Regions from separate parts of the Mus musculus genome. Here all the other regions are reported to be linked to region 1. The links are microRNA targets in miRTarBase. Many come from high-throughput screens and were not tested one by one. Region 1 holds a microRNA gene; each other region holds the end of a gene's coding sequence.

Evidence for each region. The annotated mature microRNA mmu-miR-3097-3p reads CUCAGACCUUUCUACCUGUCAG and lies in region 1 at 1,927-1,948, opposite strand. An mRNA with a match to its seed (bases 2 to 7 or 8) in the 3' UTR can be bound and repressed. Matches are read on the target gene's strand: a 7mer-m8 pairs with bases 2 to 8, a 7mer-A1 pairs with bases 2 to 7 and ends in A, and an 8mer does both.
Region 2: miRTarBase lists Sp110 as a target of mmu-miR-3097-3p. Seed matches in the 3' UTR shown: 7mer-A1 at 453-459.
Region 3: miRTarBase lists Clptm1 as a target of mmu-miR-3097-3p. Seed matches in the 3' UTR shown: 7mer-m8 at 1,765-1,771 and 7mer-m8 at 1,699-1,705.

The regions. Positions count from the first base shown.
Region 1 is chr5:35,018,499-35,023,041 of GRCm38, reverse strand. It overlaps Mir3097 (microRNA 3097), which reads right to left and starts at 1,993; the gene lies at 1,927-1,993. It overlaps Rgs12 (regulator of G-protein signaling 12), which reads right to left. Exons shown (of 17, transcript NM_173402.2): 5 at 3,530-3,699; 6 at 2,636-2,728; 7 at 1,783-1,926; 8 at 271-450; 9 at 1-13.
Region 2 is chr1:85,573,575-85,577,574 of GRCm38, reverse strand. Sp110 (Sp110 nuclear body protein) reads left to right here. Exons shown (of 12, transcript NM_030194.1): 12 at 230-676. The coding sequence ends at 283. Among named protein-coding and RNA genes, the nearest start is that of Sp110, 23 kb to the left of the region's middle.
Region 3 is chr7:19,629,942-19,633,941 of GRCm38, forward strand. Clptm1 (cleft lip and palate associated transmembrane protein 1) reads right to left here. Exons shown (of 14, transcript NM_019649.2): 14 at 1,639-4,000. The coding sequence ends at 3,750. Among named protein-coding and RNA genes, the nearest start is that of Relb, 2.5 kb to the left of the region's middle.

The DNA.
Region 1 (4,543 bases):
ATTTTCCACTTAACTGTCACCAAATAGAAACATCAGTTAAGACACTAAAGGGGCTCAACACAGAGCTCTATGAGTAAGGATTCTGAGGAATCAGGTAGAATCTTCAGTGGGTCAAGGGCACAGTCCTCTCTTTCACCACCGAGGTAGCCAGGGGTTAGGGGATCAGGAAAGGGTTCAGGAGTATCTGTGTCCTACAGGCCCCACCTTCTGCTGGTGACAGGATGTGTGGTTACAGCCTTACTCTCACCCCCACAAGGGCTAGCCCAGCACCTTTTTTGGTGTGGACACATTGGAGTGGTCAGAGCTGATGCTGTGCTTGGAAGCTGGGCTGCTGGGGACCTGCTGAGAGTCCGGGAGGGTACGTCCCTCCACCTCTGCCAGGACGCATTCTTGGTACAGCTGGGATTTCAGAAAGCGAGTGTAGCTATCAAACTTCATCAGGTTGAAAATCTGTGGAGCAGATGCCATGCAGTATAGTCACAGAAAGAACGGTAACTCCTTAGGTCCTAGGCGGTATAGGAGGTCTGTACCCATGAATGAGTGACATTTTGGAAGGGTGTCATTCCTGCCAACCCTCCCTTGGGCCCCAGGGCACTCAGATGTTAATTAACTCTCCAGGGACCCTTCTGATCCCTGTCAACAGCCTCTCCTTTGTCACTCTTAGTAAGAGCAGAGTCATAGGCATAGGCACAGCCAGAAGGGCAGGCAGACTCAAGACTGTGGCTGCACCCTTAGCAGGCCTTCACTTCCTAGGAACTTGGAAGGCAGTTGTCTCAAGGGTAAGTGAGGCCTGGGGAAGCTCTGCTCTGTTTTAAGCTAATTCCTGCAACCTAGCGGCACAGCAGCTGGCAGGGCTGGGAAGTGTGTTCTGGACGGGTCAGATCACATGCTCTTCCAGAATTAAGACACAAACATGTAAACAGGGTTCCATGTGCATCCTGTGATCCGGCAGAGGCTGAGGCACGAGTATGTGAGCTTCATGTCAATGGTGGTGAAATTACACAGTGAGATCCTGTCTCAAATGACAATTGCTGCTACTGCTACTAAGCACGTAAACATGTAAGTATACAGACAGGTCCACAGCATTCTGGATGTACACTAGTGTGGCAGCGACGTGTGCTCATAGAAAGCTTTCTCTGGGCTGGGATAATGCAGTTATCATCCGCTCTCAAATGCTGGAAGTGACACCGAACTTGCTCAGAGTCAGCCCTGCAATCATCAAAGACCACTGACCTTCCATAATGTGCTGTTGTGGCCACGCTGTAGCTGTCATGTTCTGTAGGTCAAGTGTGTCCAATGTGCATACAATTTTTTTATACTTATTTATTCATTTACTTATTTAGTGAGAGAGAGAGAGAGAGAGAGAGAGTGTGTGTGTGTGTGTTGTACACCCACCATGGTCCGTGTCTAAAGAGTACAACTTATAGAAGTTGATTCTCTCCTTTCACTATGTGGGTCCCAATGATCAAACTCAGGTTGTCAGGTTTGGCGGCAAGAGCCTTTATCTGCTGAGCAGTCTCACCAGCCCCATAGACTTTTGAAAAGTAATATTGTCCCTTACTTCGGTTGACAGTGGGTACATGGGGCTATCTGTGGCAAAGGCTTTATTGTTCCTCAGATCTACTGAATCCTTTTGAGACTGGAGCCCAGTGGTCAGATGGGCTTGTCACCATGCCCACATGACCAGCAGCCCCCTTCCCAGAAGGGCACGTGCTACTCTGAGTGACTCTGCACCCCCAAGCCTTGGCTGGAAGCCCCATGGAAGACTGTCTGCAAAGTCACCTGGAGCTGTTGTTCCTTGAACATGTCAGGGTGGGGTGCATTGAGAATGTCATCTGCCAGCTGGGCCTGGCTGTCAATGTTGACAGGAGTGGTGGCTTTGCTGCACAGGAATTTACTGAAAATCTCCCGGGCCCTGTAAGAGAGCTGACAGGTAGAAAGGTCTGAGCAGATCTGTAGACACACCCACTGGACACACACTTCCCACCTGTGTCACTCAAACATTCCTAAGGCTGACTCTGCTTCGGGGCTGGAGAGCTGAGTCACAGGCCCTGTCTATAGTCTGGCTTATGAAAGTAAATATAAAAGAAAGAGCCAGGAGGAAACTCCTGAATCGGCTCCTCTACAAATTTCTAAATGGCTGCAAATTTCTAAATGGCTGCTTTGTAAGGGCCTCAGAGGAGGATCTGCCAGCAAAGTGTGCACGACAGGGGAGGGCAAAAGTGCACAATGCTCAGAGCACAAGACACAGGCATGAGGCCACTCTGTGAGGACAGCTGTTACTTTGGGGGAAAGGCCACAGGACATGGCCTGGGCAGTCCTGGGGCAGCTAGACAGGTGCTGTTAAGCCACAGGTAGAGGCTGCAGTTTGCCAGAGTGCTTCTCCAAGTCTCTTCAAACACTGTTCCTTCTTACCCAACCCAACGTCAAGTGCCACCACTGCCAGGCTCTGTGGCGAGGCATTTATGCAGACTATGTTTAGGCAGAATTAAATGTCACACACTTAAGTTTTTATGCTGAAGCAGAAATGTCACCGTTCTTTAAAGTCAGTAAGAAGCATCCCTCATCGACTGCTCAAGCAACCCTTGATGTAACCTCGGTCCTCACACAGCCCCTGCTCTGAAGAGCAGTTTACCTCTTTTTTGTCATGTGCAGGAACATGACTGAAGCACTCACAGGCCTGCCAGAATAAAATGTTCTCTTCACTGAATTCCTTACGTAGAAAATCCTGAGGGAACACAGGAAGGAGAGCAGTTGTCACTCCACAACCCCTCTATGAAGCTGAGCCCCATATCCCCGGCCCTCTTTGTCTACACCATGGCAGGAAAGGAGCCTCGCAGGGGCCTTGAAAGCAGGCATAGGGGCTGCGCAGCACACGTGAGTGGGCGGGCCATCTGCCTCACAGCTCTTTTCTCAAGGGCTGGTCATCTTTTTTTTTTTTTTTAAAGAAATATATTTTTAGTCTCTGGTTAGCATATAAAATATGACATCATATCACTGACACTATTATCACGTGCTGCTCGTAATCACTCTTTCACAGCTCCATCCCTACTTCTGGATCCTTAAGAGCTGTATTTGTCAGCATGCATTTCCAAGAATTTTGAAGAAGCTCCAGCTAGGATGATGTCATACAACTGTAATCCTAGTACTCAGAAGGATAAGGCAGGGGGATTATGAGTTCCAAACCAGACTGACTAACATAGTGAAATCCAGTCTCAAAACAAACAAAAAAAACAAACACACAGAGCCAAGACACTCTGATGTTCCTTGCTGCACAGACATCGAGAGAGTGAGAGGGAAGTGTGCCGGCAGGGAACTCCAGGGCAGGAGGCAGGCCAGGAAGGGAAAACAGAACTGCCAGCCCCTACAAGTGTACACGCTACCTACCCCATCCTTGAGCTTGGAGCAGGTGCTGGACGACCACACCTCTAACAAGGTGATGCCCAGGCTCTGAGGTCTGAGATGGCCCCGTGAGCTCAAGCACCCGGGCTCAAAGTGCTGCCACCCCACAGCAGTCCCCCTTACTCACAGAGAAGTAGCGAACACCAACAGGATCCTGAAGGAGACGCTCAAATGACACTGCCCAGCTTGCAACTCTCCTCTCTCGTAGGCGCCGGCAGCTCTGCACACTGGGGAGGCTGGCATTGCTGCTCAGGCTGTTGTTGCTGATGCAGTCCTTAAGGTCAGCTCCAGTCAACTCTGCAGGATCATCACAGACATACCTGCACCTCGGAGGCCACAGGTACCTATATCCAGCTCTACTTCCCACAACCCATGTTGTTCACTGAGCAACATGTACTGCACCTGAAACCTAGCCAAGGCTTTCTAGACTTCAGAAAAGAACACATCTCAACTTCCCAGGGCTGAACAAGAGAAGCTATTGCCTAAGGTGTGCATACAACACAGAGCAGAAAGAATGATGCTGAGCATACGGAAGGCGGGAAGGCATTTATAAGTGCACCACAAAGCAAAAGCCCCTGAGTGAAGTCTGAGGAGGGGCTGCAGTTGGTCCCATCACCCTCCTGGTGCTGTCTGCTGCAATTTGGATCCATGGCTCATTGCCTGTGCACTTTTCTGTGTGCAGATCACTTTTCAGTGACGATATTAAGCCACACTATCCAAACTGAGTATTTAACCATGTGTCATCTGGTAGCTCATTCACTGATGACCCGATACAGGAAAATATTACAACAAAGAAAAGGAGATGTGTCTAGGAAGACCCCATCTATCACCCTTGTCACTTGAAGCAGCCCAGGGATGAGGGGAGGGCCACAAGCCAGTGTAAGTAGAACTCTATAGCACTGTTACACATGGTGCTCTGGAGAGCGAGGCACAGGTAGCTTCAGAGACAAGGCCAGCCCAATGTGGGGTGGCACTTTGGGGCTATGCCGTCAGGGGGCTCAGGCAGCAGAGCTGATGAAGGTGATTTTCCACGTGGGATCATTAAGGAAATGCTGCTACGTCACATAGTCACAGGACTCCATCTGCTCTGAGCATTCCGGACAGGCTACTCAGGATACTCTGCCCTCTGGTCAGGTCACAG
Region 2 (4,000 bases), not on the chromosome of region 1:
GGGGAAGGGACTGAGGAAGGAGAGCTTGGGCCTTAGGCCTAAGTAAAGGGGAGAGTTACCTTATCACTAAGGGGAAACTTAAAAGGGGAGTGGTTTGGGGAAGCTCGTTTCTCTTCCCACACCTAACTTGATATCTAGATACAGGTGTTTCCTAAAGGGGGGAAACATCAATATTCACAAGAGAAGAAACTCCCAGAATAATCTCACTTGTCAACCTCTTCTCTTTCAGAAAGGACTTTTGTTCTTTACCTCCAAGAGTAAACCTCAAAAGAAGGGTGCCTAGCAGATGAACTCCTGACCTGATATGTGCTCAGCTCCTGTGCTCGCTCGCACTCTGTCTCTGTCTCTCTGTCTCTCTCTGTCTCTCTCTATCTCTGTCTCTCTCTCTCTCTCTCTCTCTCTCTCTCTCTCTCTCTCTGTGTGTGTGTGTGTGTGTGTGTGTGTGTGTGTGTGTCTGAACTTTGCCTTTGAGCCTCTGAGTGTCCCAGCTCTGAGGTCCTTCGTAGTTGTGGTCCTCATCACAACTGACCCAGCACTGTGGTACACGCTCACGATGTCCTTGTTCACAGCTGACTTACAATGGCAAAGTGCATGAATACTAGACAGTAAAAATAAAGCTGTTGGTGTCTCTGTGCGTTTGAAAACTATCTTGATATTAAAATGGATATAAACTAAAGGTGTCCAAAGGAGACGGCTTTCGTGCAAGAAGTAAGCATGAGACCAAGTGTTGTTCAATGCCACACACTTAGTGCTTGTGGCAAGATGATCCAACCAAGCTTTGTCTGCAGAGACCCCCCCCCCTCCAGGGCAAAGGGCAATCACCTGGCAGAGTCACTGTCGTCAGCCTTCCTTACCCCTTAGGTGTGTTCTCCAGGCATAGTCCTACCCATAAGCTTCTTTCAAATGAGAACTTCTAGCAGAGATGGTGCTGTGTCTCCTTGGCTTGAGCCTTGGCCAGTTTCATTCAAAGTTTAAAGCAAAGATCCCCCCCCCCCCCCCCCCCCCCCGCCACCGTGTCACTTACAATGTAAACCAACCTTTATCATGCTGATTGAAAGACACTGAGGTCAAGAATGCTTAGTGTGCGGTCACTACCAAATTCCATTGATATTATAAAATATATTGATACTGGGTAAACTTTTAAGACACATATAAAAATCCCATAGCCATTGCTATGGCCTTGATGTTCCTTATCAAGACCTGTGTTGAAATTGAATCTCTATCATGAGTTAGTAGGAGAGAAGCTTAAGTCATGTACGGCAGTGGTTCTCACCCTGTGGGTCGAGAACCCTTTGGTTCTCAGGGGTCACCTAAAATCATCGGACACATCAGATATTTACATTACAATTCATAGAGGCAGCAAAGTTATAGTTATGAAGTAGCAATAAAAATAATTTTATGGTTGGGGGTCACCACAGCATGAGATACTGTGTTGAAGGGTTGCGGCATTAGGAAGGTTGAGACCCACTAACTTACACAGTATTTGGAGGTGAGACTCAGGAGGTTACGGAGCATAATGAGGCCATGAAGGTAGAGGTAGAGAGAGCCCTTGTCCGTTAGGACTGTGCCTGTGTAGGAAGAAGGGGTGAAGCCAGGTTGGCACCTCACACCTACCATCCCAGCCCTGACGAAGCTGTGGTCACAGACTCAGACCCTCATTCGTAAGTGTGAACAAACAACTAGAAACCTGCAAAGAATCAATAGGAAAAAAAAGAAAGAAATGCTGGGCAGTGGTGGTGCACGCCTTTAATCCCAGCACCTGGGAGACACAGGCAGGCGGATTTCTGAGTTCGAGGCCACCTGGTGTACAAAGTGAGTTCCAGGACAGCCAGGGCTATACAGAGAAAACCTGTCTCAAAAAAACAAAATACAAAAGAAAAGAAAAAAAAAGAAGAGGAAGGGAGGGGAGGGGAGGGGAGGGGAGGGGAGGGGAGACGAGAGGAGAGGAGAGGAGGGGAGAGGAGGGGAGAGGAGGGGAGAGGAGAGGAGAGGAGAGGAGAGGAGAGGAGAGGAGGGGAGGGGAAAGGAAAGGAAAGGAAAGGAAAGGAAAGGAAAGGAAAGGAAAGGAAAGGAGTGATTTCCTGACACGTAGAGCATATGGAAGATGGGAACAGAAGAATCAGTTCAAGCTCAGCCCTTCTCTACTCAATCCAGGACCCACCCAGCCCGGAGGATGATGCTCTCACTTAGAGATTGGGGCTCCCACTTTAATTAAATGAATCAAAATAACCCCTCACAGACACACCCAGAGGCACATAAGGCCTCACAGATGTACCTCATCTCCTAGGTGGCTACAACGCCTGTCAAGCTGGCAACATTAATCCTCACCAGGATGTAAGGTTTTCAGACATTGTTTCCTTTGCTCCCTTGTCCTGGAGGGGAAGGGGGGTCAGCACTTTCTTGACAGTAATGCTGACTGTTTATTAGCCTCTGCTTTGAAGAGAAGAGTTACGGCAAAGTCTGCTTAGATCCAACACAACTCAAATACCAGGTCTATGGCCACAACAAAAAACTTATTGTAATCAAGCATCTATTGATTGATCTGGGATACAGAACAGTGATCGGGAGCTGACCTGTGACCCCAAGCCAGAATGTTACAGAGCTTTTAAGCTTGAAATTCACACACATCTGTGCCAAGTGACAGTTACATTTCCCATCTATCAGGATTTAGGGAGAGGGGACTTTCAGAAACAGTCCATTGTGGTGGTCAGCTCCTGTTCTTTCCCCCTCTGCTTTAAGGATCTTCATGGAGCTGAGTGGCAGCCTTCAATACTTCCTCGTATATGACCATTAAAAAAATTACCAACACCCTATTTGGTATATTTGATGGACCTTACTGGAGCAGGAAAAATTTGAATAAACTTAAAGTGAGTATCCATAGGACTGACGATGGGATGGATTTGGAAGGTGAGAGATAAGACAAAGGCAGGCTGAAGCCCCGGGTCTGTGGCGTATGGAGCCTGTTATATAAAATGGAAGTTCCAAAGAAGGAGCAGAGTGTGATTGGAGGGTGGGTTGCAGAGGAGACGTGGCTGAGCATTAGAACCCGAGGAGCTAAGGAGAGGCGAGGCACATGAAGCTAAGGACACAGGTGGAAACTGCAGCAGGAGAGTGACTCTGATCATCTGGACAGACTGTAGCTAAGGATGGAAACCTGGGGAATTCCATCCGTTGCATGTGGAGGGGGAGAAGGACCTGGGAAGGAAAGTGGTCCAGCAGTCAGGTGATACAGCAAACCACCAAGACTGATGCAGAAGGACCGACTTCTCCTGAAGGCAGAAATGGCCCTGGGCACAGAACGGTTGGCCTTGTCACCTTGGCTACTTCCCTTCTCCAACTCACTCACCCAGCCCAGTCCTCAAGCATGTCTCATGGCTGTCCCTCAGATGGCCACAAGAAGGTAGGAATTCCTTCTGAACAGGTGTCCTAGTGCAACTCTCTAAACATACCCAGTCTATATAAGAAGTTAAAGCCCTAGAATGCTGCCCAAGACTGTAGAGCACTTACCTACCACTAGAGAGCACTGTGGGTCCCTCTTGACACTGGAAGCTAAAAGGAACTAGTGAGGCCTTTTAAGGGAACAGGAATCCTCTAGATGGCTGTCATCAAACACAAGTAACATGAGAGTCAAGCAAGAACAGAAGTAAGTCTATCAGAGAACTAAGAGTGGCAAAGAACAACAAGCCAAACGCTCTTGCTTAGGCACGTGTGTTGGAGGGCTCTTTATGCGGGCAAAAGGTCTCTTAGCTGTTGGCCACACGTTTCAAGCCTCCCAGCCAGTGTAATGAAGTGGCTGAGATGTGCTCTGTGTTGTGAGCTGGAAGAGACCTGTGTGGCCTCATTTCTTATTTAACCAGGTTGGGTCTGGTAGCAGGCCCAGGTTAAGTGTCCCACTGCTGGCTCAGACATGTCTGCTGGACCTTCCCATCTCCAAAAATGCTTCAGTTTACTTGGAGAAGCTCAAGAACAAGGATTCCAGGAGGAACCACAAATTACAGGG
Region 3 (4,000 bases), not on the chromosome of region 1:
AACCCAGGGCTTCATGAATACTGAGCTACAGTCCCAGCCCGTTGGTGATATATGGCACCTATAACCTATAGAAACCTATAGAAACTTGTATGTTCCATTCCCCTTCTATCATAGCATGTGTGATCAATGATTCAAGCAACCTACGCATAATTAAGCACTTGCCATATGCTGCAGCCTGTAATGAAAACTAGGGTACAGCATTACTAAAACCAGGCCCACTTCTTGCTCCAGAGGCAGAAAACTGCAGCAGTGAATGATGTGGCACCGGTATCTACTGTTGCACACCAAAGCAAAGAGCATTGTTTTGGTTTTGCTATGTAGCTCTGGTTGACATTGAATTCATGATAATCCATCTGCTTCAGCCTGAGTCCTGGGGATCCCAGGCACCTACCATCACGTCCAGCTTAGAGCAAACCTTTTCTTGCAATGAAAGACATTAGGCTCAGGCTTTGAGAACCAAATGGTCTTAATTTTCAAATGTGCCATCTTACATAAACAGCCAAGGACCAGAAACAGGGATGTGGCTATGTTCTATTAGAACATAATTTGATAAATATAGAAATGGGAATATCATGTAACTTTCACACTGAATCATATTCTTTTTCACTTTGTACCAGAGGGAAATGTTCCAGTGTCATAAGCAAGCCCAGGAGTGGACATCTCCCATAGAATAAGCTTGCCAGTCACACACACACACACACCAATCACTGCTTTCCTTGAGGTTTTCCAACTGTAGTGCTGAGGATGTGGCTTGTGATAGAATGCTTGTCTAGCATGTATGAGATTCTAGGCTGTGTTCTCAGCAGCACACAGAAAGATATTGTAGCCACAATATGCCCATTCTGGACAGACAGAGGCAGGAGATCCACTGACAAGTAGTGAGTTCCACTGCATAGCAGGCCCTTGTCTCAACGCAAACCAACAAAATAAAACAAAAAAGAAGGGGGAGAAGAGGGGGAAAATTGGGCTGGTGGTGTGGCTTAGTGGTAGAGCACCTGCCTAGCATGTTGGAGGACCTGTGTTGATTGCCTGGATCTGAGACACGACTGTGAATTCAAAAGCAAAACTGAGAGCCAGGTATGACAGCTCACACGAGTAACTTAAAACACTTGAAAGTCTGAGGCAGGAAATCACCACGAGTTCTAGGCCAGTCTGGACTACTTATAGCAAGACCCTGAATGAAAAGACAAGCAATCTCTCTCAAGAGAGTTGTAATTGGAAGGTCCTGAATCAAATATCCTGTGTTCAAATACTAGGTTTCCTGGACAATTATGCAATTCCAGGCAACTGATTTCACCACTCTGGACTTGAGTTTCTTAACAGGATGGCTTTAAAGACTTAAGGAGGTAGTCTAGTTGACTCTTGACACAGGTCTTCCATGCACCTGCACTATTCAAACTACTAAATACTTGTTAGGGTACATACACCAGGCTGGCCTCTGACTCCTGAGTACCATGATTAAATGTGTGTGATCCCATGGCCAGCTGGGAAAAAAAAAAACAACTGAGTTTCTCATCTGGAGGTACAGAATATCACAAACTTCAAAGAGCTGTTGTGAACACACACACACACACACACACACACACACAGCAACAATGCTGGACACTGTTCTCAAAGTTGGGGACAGTACATGGTGCATCCATGGTGTTTTCCATTTTTTATTCTTTCAAACAAGGTGTTAAATAGCCCAGGCTGGCCTCAGACCCAGCTTCTATTTCTGGTTGTGAGCCTAGCCTGTAACAGAGGAGCCATCTCTCCAGCCCCTCAGACCCAACTCAAAGCAGTGAGGATGACTTTGATGTCCTGACCCTTCTGCCTCCACCTCCCAAGTGCCAGGATTACAAGTGTGTGCCACTATGCCAAGTCTTGTTTTGTAGCCCAGGCTAGCTGAAAGTTTTTAAATCTGGATTGACCTCTCAAAATCAAGGATGGGGAATAACCACTGTGCCCAACACTACCTAGAATTCTGCTAAGTTGTGAGCTCCTCAGAACTGCCATGGAATGCTGGTCCTACTGTGTACACAGAACTGTTTTGTGCTGTTTGCCCAGACAGACTTGCGAAGGGTTAATAGAGACCCATCCACCAGTACCCCAATAAGGGCACTGGATATGTCCAGATGTCCGTGAAAGCAAATGGCACCAGAGTGGCTAGGATACAGTCATGTTTTCACAGGTCTTGGTCCAGTGAAGGAAGTCTCCTTGCCATGATGTACCAGTGGGCAGAGCCTCAGGACTAGGCGGTAAGGGGTGCCTGGGAACACCACCAATTGTATCCTGAAGGTACTTGTGTCCCAGAAAGGACTTGAGAGACTGGGGCTAGAGGTGAGGCTGTGGCAGAGCATGAGACAAAGGCTGGGGACATGCAGCAGCCCCCTGGGGATCACATTAGCTGTCTTCTGAGAGCACTGGGTCAGCAGGTGGAAGGGGAGCCCAGCAAGGAGAGTGGGTATGATACCTACCTGTGAGGCACCATCCCTGCTTGACTCAGCAGGGAGAAGTAGGTGGAGCCTGAAGCAACCTGGGGTTGGGCCAGTGCCTCCTTGCAGCACTGCTGATCCTACAGTCTGGGAAGGTGTAGTGAGTACCCCCAATGGCTGTCATTCTCCTAGAGAGGGTAAGCAGGCCCTGCTCCTGGTATGGACAGTTAGGCTCTTGAGGGACACTGCAATGACACCCAAGGACTCACTCTGCTGTGGCCCAGATAAGTGCATACAGGCCCCATTCTGTTTTCTCCATTGAGGAGTGTTAAATAGGGCTTGTCCTTCTTGGGGGTAGCCTCTTGATTCACAGGCAGACTTGGTGGTGTTTAGTGTTTCAGGTCCTGCCTGGTGGCACACAGCTAGCCACAAATACCAGATGCTTTTAGCCAGCAGCCTTGTAGGAGTCTAAGATGGAACTGTTTTGGGAGACCTCTTGCAGGGCAGTTATCCTGTTTGGGTATGTGTGCTACAGTGTGTGTGTGGAGGTCAGATAACACTATAGTTGCTTCCCTCCTGCCTCTGTGTGGTTTGGTGATCAACTTAGGTTGTGTGGCCTTGTAGCACAATGGAAGTGCAAAGCCAGGTTATCAGGGTTGCATGGCAAGTACCTTCACCCACTGAGCCACCTTGCAAGCCTCTGCCATCTAAGTTAGCTCTGACTTACAGGCATACAACACCACTGTTTTATGCAGCACAGGGTTAACCCAGGGTGTTAAATGCTGAACAACCCCAGATTCCACTCCGTCATCACCTCCAGGTCTCTTGAAGACCTGAGCCAGCTGCATGGTCCGGACAAGGAAGGCAGAGGAGGTGCGGTGGTTGAGCTTAAGTTAAACACCCATATGAATTTATTAAATCCAGACTGTGTTAAAGGGTGGCGGTCTGGGAGCAGGGTGGTCGGGGGATGAGGGACAAGATGATGGAGGACCACAGGCGTCCCACAGAGGAGCCCTGGCCCCTTCCCCGCCTGGCCCACCCTCGGCGCCATATTGGCTTCACCATGATTCCCGATGGTGTTGGGCTGGCAGGGCGAGATGTCTGCAAACACATAGGAACAGACGGATAGACAAGACGATGGACGGTGCCTCCACATACACACAGCCAGCCCCAACCTGCCCGGCCCCATCTCACACACCGGGCCCTGGCCCTGGGGGCCTCCTGCCGCCCCGGCCTGATCTGTCCAGGAAGAGGGCGACAGAGAGGGTAAGGGAGGGGCCCGGGAGGTGGTGGTGGTCAGTCACCAGGAGCAGATAAGGAGGACTGCAGTGGCTAATCCTTTTTCTTGTCCTCTGCTGGCTTTGGAGGGGCTTCCTGGGGCTGGCTGGCAGTGCAGGCCCCAGAAGTGGCCTTTGGGACTGTGGAGGCATCCTCTCCGCTGACAGCTGTGCTGGGTGCAGGTGTGAGAGCCCCTGCTGCAGTGGATGCCTGGGCCCTGGATGCCGCTGCTGAGACATCCTCTCCACTCATACCGAACTCGTTCACACGGGTGGGGTCGACGCGGTAGATCCACCGTTGGTAGA